Saccharomyces cerevisiae S288C: one gene and its partner. The protein of the gene in region 1 interacts with the protein of each later gene in a biochemical or structural test. Each region holds a gene or a part of one and is shown in the gene's direction. Other genes may lie near its edges. The genes, in order: YJR142W and FRK1.

What was found.
Region 2: of the proteins of YJR142W (region 1) and FRK1, one has a biochemical effect on the other in vitro, tested with the Saccharomyces cerevisiae proteins (one large-scale study listed by BioGRID).

Annotation. Positions count from the first base shown.
Region 1 is NC_001142.9:695,441-698,838, forward strand, and holds YJR142W (uncharacterized protein), read left to right. Parts: upstream 1-1,700; coding exon 1,701-2,729; downstream 2,730-3,398. Other genes in the region: HIR3 (Hir3p), read right to left, coding at 1-256; IPA1 (putative polyadenylation protein), read left to right, coding at 466-1,509; PMT4 (dolichyl-phosphate-mannose-protein mannosyltransferase), read right to left, coding at 2,886-3,398.
Region 2 is NC_001148.4:282,810-288,170, reverse strand, and holds FRK1 (protein kinase FRK1), read left to right. Parts: upstream 1-2,109; coding exon 2,110-4,707; downstream 4,708-5,361. Other genes in the region: putative mitogen-activated protein kinase kinase MKK2, read left to right, coding at 1-657; 60S ribosomal protein eL33 RPL33A, read right to left, coding at 5,201-5,361. UniProt on the Saccharomyces cerevisiae protein: Putative serine/threonine-protein kinase that may be involved in rRNA transcription and ribosome biogenesis.

The DNA of each region.
Region 1 (3,398 bases):
TATAACATAGATATCGCAGGTTATCTAGCGTAGGAGAAGAATTGCGATACATGCCCCACCTATCAGGCTTGACGACATCAATCTGGAAGAGCTCTTGGAATTTGCTGTCCGACTTTTCGAAGTCCTTGTTTTTTAGATCAATCAGAGCGTCCTGCAAAATATTAAAACTCTGTTCTATTTGAAGCTCTCTTGAATGCTCCTCTGCTTCATATTGTTCACCTTCGATGTTTGAATTGAGGGCATTGAACATAGACATAATAAGCTTTATCTAGAATCTGTGTTGAGGTTCTAACTCCTTAAAGTGCCTTTACGGACCTGCCTTGCTACCGTCTATTTGTATTTCTGCTCTTCCCAACGTAAACAATTCAATAAATAATTTCGCGATGGCACATAGTAACAAGCTGTTAAATCGAAGTAAAGAAAAGGAAAGTCAAGAAAACAAAGAGAGAAACAAATGCAAGGGTGATGGTTCAATATGTGGTAGAATGGTTACCAAGGATACAGAGCATTTCAGTGGTAGTAGAAGGTTGGAAGCAGGTGGAGATAAAGAACTTGAAGGACACACTCATGAGCATATCTGGTGATGAAGAACAAGTTGAAGATATTTTACTTCCAGTAGAAGTTGAAGAAAAAGTAGACGCTTCTTACAAGTTCAAAAACAGAGGTAAAGACTTAGAATGGATGACGAAGTTAAGAAGCAAATCCTCTAAGATATATGACAGTTCTATCATGTCGCTTCCAGATGGAAGATGGACTAAAGAAGAGCTTCGCTCAGATTCTGATTTCTCGATAGAATGTCTTAACTGTAAGCAAAAAATTATAAGCAAAGATAACTGTCAAGTTTTGAATGATATGCCTTCAGAGTTTTGGTTCGAGTTAATGGATTATTGGCATTGCCACAAACCCGATGTTAAGGAAGACAAGTCTTCCTACACAAGATTTGAAACGCTAAAACCATCTAAAAACGAAATTTTAATTGGAAGCTCTTATTTTCAAGGCACTCCTGCGACTTTTGAAAATGTAGCGACTACAAAGGAAAATGATAATGTTTTATGCATAAAGTGCTCAGCAGTGTTAGGCCAAGTAACTGCTGGTTCGCTTTATAAACTACACAAATGGAAACTGCAGTTAATACGCAGTGGAAACACATACAAATTTCCTCCAGAATGTGACATTACAATTTCTTTAATAAACGTAGTTAAGGCAAACTCTTGTCGTTACGTACTAGTAAAATGTAAAACGGAATCATTGCTAGTTTGGATATTTTCCGTTGACATTGGAGTCACATTGACGGGAAACAAAAGCTTCAAGAGAGCGATGAAGTTGCTTTACACAAACAGCGTTACCACAATAAATCGATGTCTCAATCGACAAGTCGTCGAGGAATTAGATTTCCAAGAAACATCGTTTAATGCTTTTTACAGCGCCCTTCAACATACTAATGCACTTTTACCCTCAAGCATGAAAAAAATTGGTGAATGGACCATTAGCTATACATCACTAATCTAATTTTAAGAACCATTCTCTTTCAAATTTGTACAAATATTGTCATCAAGTAATAAATAGCTTCTTTTTTTTTTTAACATACAGTTGTAGAATTAACTTCGTTGGCCGAAGAATTGCACAACAATAGCGTTTGTTATATTACTAAATATAGGGGCTTTCTTGGGAACGAAAGTGAAACAAACGCTTTTAATACAATGAAGGTCGAGAAATCATCTAAAGGCTTGGAAGTTTTAGTGAGGACACAGGAGGATGATCTAGAGGGGTTCTCTTTCCTGGAGATTATGGACCGCGTAGACCCTTTACCATTAGACTTCGAGAATTACAAAAATTTCAAAGAGGGCATTTACTATATGTGTACACACGATGGCACAAAGATCGGTTTCGTGTTGAAATTTGCGATAAATGAAATGGAGACTGTTTGCTCGGAAATCTTCGAAGAAACCTTCCAATTAGATGAATCTAGACATGAGTTAAGGTTTAAAAGTGAAGATTTTGATCATAGAAACAATCTAATTGACCAATTGGCTCGTAAAATGTATTTAGAATCATCCTTGAGTGGTGTGAAGGGCTGGAGAAACGAGAAATATGCCGTTTGGGTTAATAAAAAACCCTATGTACTGGTTGAGCGTGCAGTAGCAGGTGTTCTTGGTATAATTACCTACGGGATTCATATTAATGGTTATGTGCTAGATCCAAAGTCAAAAAAAGTTCAGTTTTGGGTTCCAAGAAGATCTAAAACGAAACAAACATGGCCGCTAATGCTTGACAACATTATCGCCGGGGGATTAGGTTATCCTTATGGTATCTATGAAACAGTTTTGAAAGAAAGCATGGAGGAAGCCAATCTAGAAAAGAGTGTTATTGAGGATAACATTAAAGCAACTGGTTCAGTTTCCTACCTTTACTTTACGGGTGATATTTCTGTAACGAAGTTCAATAAGGAATCAGATTTTATCGTAGGGGAAGTACAATATGTATACGATCTAAAACTCAGCGAAGACATCATTCCAAAACCAAACGATGGTGAAGTCGAGAGTTTCAATTTATTCAGCCTGCAAGAGACGATTAATGCTTTAAGAAAAAAAGAGTTCAAACCAAATTGTGCATTGGTAATGGTAGATTTCTTGATTAGACATGGCTACATCACTCCAGAAAATGAGCCCAATTATCTTGAACTAGTAACTAGAATGCACAGAAGGTTACCATTCCCCACCTTGAATTAACATTCAAGAGGTTACCGGTTGATATCTAAACAAATATAAAGAATTTTTTTCATATATACACATCTAGGTACATACTATCTAAGATCAAAAGTACTCTATTTTGTCACTAAACGGAGGAAGGCGTTCAGTTCGTTTGTGGTTAGTGAACAGAAAAAGTTACTTGGAGAAATTTAATTCTATGTCAAACCACTCTCTAGAAACAACTTCCGATGGTGACAAGCTGACATCTCCATACACTAGTGGTGAAAAGTATACAAAAAACCACGCAACAGCACAGGAGACACACACCAAGAAGACGGTATAGGGTTTAACGTAGACCTTAGGGTTCCGTTCATATGATGCACCTGAAATATCCTCGTCTTTCTCCAAATCCAATGATTTGCAATCACTGAAAATTACTTCCCATAGTGCTCCTGAGAATAAGCACGCGATTAAATGAGCTGGTAAGTAATGATGCAAAAACTTTTGACGCGCCATTAAAAAGAATGGAAAATAATGACAGCACCAGGAGACGAAGAAAAACATCAATGGGCCATACAGCTTTTCTCTGGTCATCTTGTTTAGGGCATAATAGCCACGATGTCTAGTAATTAAATCGGCCACGATAATGCCAACAAAAACAGCCAATGATATGACTTGGAACCACCACCCAATGATGTTACCAATGAA
Region 2 (5,361 bases), on another chromosome or scaffold:
TACATTGCCATGGAATATATGGGAGGAAAATCACTGGAGGCAACGTATAAAAATTTGTTGAAACGTGGCGGTAGAATAAGTGAGAGGGTGATAGGAAAGATAGCAGAATCTGTCTTAAGAGGTTTATCATACTTACACGAAAGGAAAGTCATCCACAGGGACATTAAACCCCAAAACATTCTTCTTAATGAAAAAGGGGAAATCAAATTATGCGATTTCGGTGTCAGTGGGGAGGCTGTTAACTCTTTAGCGATGACATTTACTGGAACGTCATTTTATATGGCCCCAGAACGAATACAAGGCCAACCATACAGCGTAACCTGTGATGTATGGTCCTTAGGATTAACTCTTCTGGAGGTTGCTGGAGGGAGATTTCCATTTGAATCTGACAAAATAACGCAAAACGTGGCTCCTATAGAATTATTGACGATGATCCTGACGTTTTCTCCCCAGTTGAAAGATGAGCCAGAACTAGACATATCCTGGAGCAAGACATTTAGATCTTTTATCGACTATTGTTTAAAAAAAGATGCCAGAGAGAGGCCTTCTCCCAGGCAAATGTTAAAGCATCCCTGGATTGTAGGGCAAATGAAAAAAAAAGTCAACATGGAACGGTTTGTAAAGAAATGCTGGGAAAAGGAAAAGGATGGGATATAAACTTCCAACATTTTCCTCTCGTAACCAGAACTGACTTTTTCTACAACAGGAATTCTTTAACGAGACTTCTCCTCCTTCACCATTCATAAGTTTAACGATGTTCTTTTATTATCTAGACACTCCGAAATATTCTTAACATATACGTATATAGTTTACTGAAAACCGAACTAGCCATGGGCTATGAAAGTTCTCCTATTTCCTTACTTACATCAAATAGAAATGCGCATCCAAGTCTTTCTGGCAGGCACGCTATGATGTGCTAAATTATGACTCAAGTGAGTACTAGGCGCTTTTGTACTCAGCCGCGCGGGGAAAATTTCTTCCCTCCCTACCAAAGAGGAAAAAATCATATGGCGTCATATTATCCTATATACAACGGTCGAACAAAAATCTGCTCGACTCAGAAAAATAAAAGGGTTTTAACATACTTATTGCTTACTTAAGTTACCACTTCAGTAACTGGAGCTATAAATACAATAAGCGTTTTGTACGTAGAAAATATCCTCTATATTGCCTGATTTTCTTTAGTTCCGACAAGGGCTCCGACCACGGGACAACCCTTATGATTTCTGTTATAAGGCCTATTTGTTCTAGTTACGACGACACTTACTGCTGTCTCTTGACCGTTTTTGCTATACTCATCCTCTTACCATTAAAAAAATAAAGAAAATGGACTCGAGTAAAGATGAAACCATATCTCTTTAATCACAACATACTCACTCTATGGGAGATTCTATTCTCCTTAGGTTAGTAAATGGCATTATAAATTAGCAAGCGTAGCCTCTTCAGCCTATACATCAGCTGAACCTGCACAATTAATGTCATGTGGCCGACGTAATGCATATCCATCTTTTTTACTCCCTTAAAAGAAGGTTTAGCCCCTACTGTATACTCAATGAACAGATAATGTCTATCCATAAAGTATATCATTTCAGGAACCCTAAATAATAGTGCTATCGTTACATATACTTTTAAATTTCATATTGCATTAAAATGCCGCACACCTTTTATGTAAACAAAGCCGCACTTCCTAAAAAAGCAATTGAAAACAATCGAAAGAATGAGTGTAGAACAGCAAAAAAGGTAAACAAGAGAAAAATTCTGAAACCCAGATCAACACCTGTTTCAACCCCTTCATCGATTTAAATATAATTCAAGTTCAGGTCATCGAGTAAATCTATAATAAATCAGATCACAAAATCTGGTACACTGCTGTTGCTGATCACGGTTCTTTTCATCTTTAACACATTTTCGCAGTTTTTTGACTGTGCCACATTTTGCATTAATTTGTTTCTTGTGACGTGTTTGCGAGAATTTTTTGATTGCTAATTAAACCTAACAATAATCGCTATTTTTTTTACCCATCCACAATACAAGAAAGGCGAGCCAAGCGGCGTTCAATATTCAATTGGCCATTACTTCTATATACTGATTTAGAGTGCCAAAAATTTAATGTCGTACACCAATAAACGTCATACATACTACGGAGGGTTTACCAACGATTTGTCTGACACATTTCAGTACCCTCAAAGAACAGATGAGCAAAGGCGGAAACATGTAACGTTTGGTCCTTATATCCTAGGGTCGACGTTAGGAGAAGGAGAGTTCGGAAAAGTGAAGCTAGGCTGGCCAAAGAATTTTTCAAACAGCTCTAATTCAACTTTTGACTTCCCAAAACAAGTAGCAATTAAACTTATCAAACGTGATAGCATATCGAATGATTACAGGAAAGAAGTTAAAATATACAGAGAAATCAACGCCTTAAAACACTTATCACATCCGAATATCGTAAAATTAGAAGAAGTGTTGCAAAATTCTAGGTACATTGGTATTGTCCTAGAGTACGCATGCGGGGGAGAATTCTATAAATATATTCAAAAAAAAAGGAGGCTTAAGGAAATGAATGCATGCAGGTTATTTTCTCAGCTAATAAGTGGAGTACATTACATACATTCTAAGGGACTTGTTCACAGAGATCTCAAATTGGAAAATCTATTACTAGACAAGAATGAGAACCTAGTTATTACAGATTTTGGGTTTGTCAATGAGTTTTGCTCACGAAACGAATTAATGAAGACGTCATGTGGCTCTCCATGCTACGCAGCGCCTGAACTAGTGATAAGCGCCGAACCATACGAAGCTAGAAAAGCAGATATATGGTCATGTGGAGTTATACTTTACGCTATACTAGCTGGATATTTACCGTGGGATGATGATCCAAATAATCCTGAAGGCAGCGATATAGGAAGACTTTATAATTATATTAACTCCACACCATTAAAGTTCCCTGATTATATTCTTCCTATACCTCGGGACTTATTAAGACGCATGCTGGTCTCAGACCCAAAGAAAAGAATAAACCTGAAACAGATCAAGAAACATGAATGGCTAAAGCCTCATTCTTCATTCTTATCCATAACACCTGATGAGTGGGACAAACTAAACAATACTCAATCCGTGTTCAGATTAGCAAAACCAAGAAGAAGATATGGATCTAGACCACAATCCAGTTGTTCTACCTCATCTCTTGGCTCAAGGAGTGATAAAAGGGATTCACTGGTCATTGATTCAACTTTAATTACTTTCCCGGCTCCGCCTCAAGAATCACAAAATCATATTATAACCAGACCGGCTTCTATTGCATCTGACCAGCGGCTGTCACCTATAAGAAGATCTAATAGGCACAATAGAAGTAACTCTGCTGCATCCGTTGCCTTGCAGGCAGTGGTGAACGCAGATAGGGAATATGTGTTAAGTCATGAACAATCATTATCCCCAGTACAAAACATTAGACAAACTACGGGAAACATGACTGCCAGTCTTTCACCTCCACCAGCCATAAGTCCAGGCGATATTATAATCGAAACCACACCTATTAAAAGAAATACAATTTCTGGGAGTAGTATTGTACCAAGTTTAGAAGAAGAGTCGTCTACCACAATGCAAACAAGCAAGATTCAACCAAATAACATGGCTTCATCACAAAATCATCAATACAATAAAAATAAGACCCAAAATAGTCTCCAATCTGCTAAAAATTTCTACCGTACGTCTTCCTCATCCCATACAAAGCCACGGCCAACTTCATACCATCCTGGCTCATACACAACACCTCCCTACAATTCAAATACGCTCTCCATATATGAGATCAACGAAAAAGCTAAAAGTAGCGCTTCATCACAAACGCTGAATCAAAGAGACACATCCCCATTTGATTCCACACCATACCTTGCCCTAGATACATGCATAACCTCATCCTCTTCCATCGAAAGCTCTCCAAAGTTAATTACGCACGGCCAATTTTCAGTAGCAAAACCCTCTGTTGATTTGCAAAGCGTATCTGGTGACTTGATCAAGTATAAGAGGGACGCTGATGTAGTAACGAGAATCTATGATGAAAAATACAAACAGAAGCGCAAAAGTTTGAGATATAGCGGCATATTCAGTGACATCTCATGCGATACGGTCACCGAAGAGTCTGATGAATTGAGGCCACCAGAATCTCCTCTTCAACAACATGAAGGACAAGAATCAATTGATAAGGCGAAAACGGAGGACACAAGTGAAAAGGGTAGTAAAAGTAGCAACATCGCGAAAGCTACAGCACAAAAACACGTCAATAACCATCTAGAAAGATCACTTAACGAAGCAGAGTCAACAAAGAAAAGATTTAGCTTTCTTTCCTTGTACTCTTATGATACTTCCAAATCTAGTTTATACTCATCAATGGATTCCAAACGGAAACCTTCTCCACCTTCCCAAAGACGCCCAAAAAAGGATGACAGTTATCAAACAAATTCAAAGAATCATTATATCACTGCTTCAAATATGCAAACATCCCATCAAGTCTCAAAAGACCTGCCTGCACCAACGATGGTGCAAAATAAATGTACTTTAGAAACTAAAAAAGCGGTCCGAAGCAACAGGTCCTCCATAATGGTATCTGAGGTCAACAAGGCAAGCGTAGACAATAAAGCAGCCCAAAGTCCAGAACATTCAACCGCAAAAAGAGTATTAGGGTTTTTCAAAAGAAGAAGTATGAAAATCTAGAGATAATACCTATCTCATTTGACAATAATATCCACTTATCATATGAAAAAATCAGTACTATCTGCAATTTTTCCATTTAAAATGTCTGTCGCTAAAATTTTGCGATTTGCCAGACCAACAAAATAATGTTATAATATACTTTATGAAATTTCAATCTAATAAACATTGAGCATATATATGCATATACCTACCATATATATTTTGCATTACTAAAAACATCAAAAATTTTTCTAAATTGTTACTTATTATCAATCATAGCTTCACTCCGCTTGAATCACGTCTTCTAAGCGGGAACATTGTTTCACTGCGCTTACAGCGAGATTCGCAGACATTTTAAGTAAGAAGACAATTTCTTTTGCCTTTTGTACGGAATTAATTTTAAAAATTATACTATATATATATTAGTCTTTTCTATTCTCAAAATATAATAATATTAATAGTAATAAAAGAGAAAATAACGATGTTTAATAGAGTACTTATACAATCAACAAATTTAGATGTTGGATGGGTACAAGAAGATTCTAACAGAAGCACCGAAGGTCTTGGCTGGCAAATTGTTTCTGAAGGTGGCTCTAACGACACCAGAGTTACCGTGAGTTCTGGTAACCTTACCCCACATAACTCTAATCTTAGAACCCCTGACTTCCTTGGAGG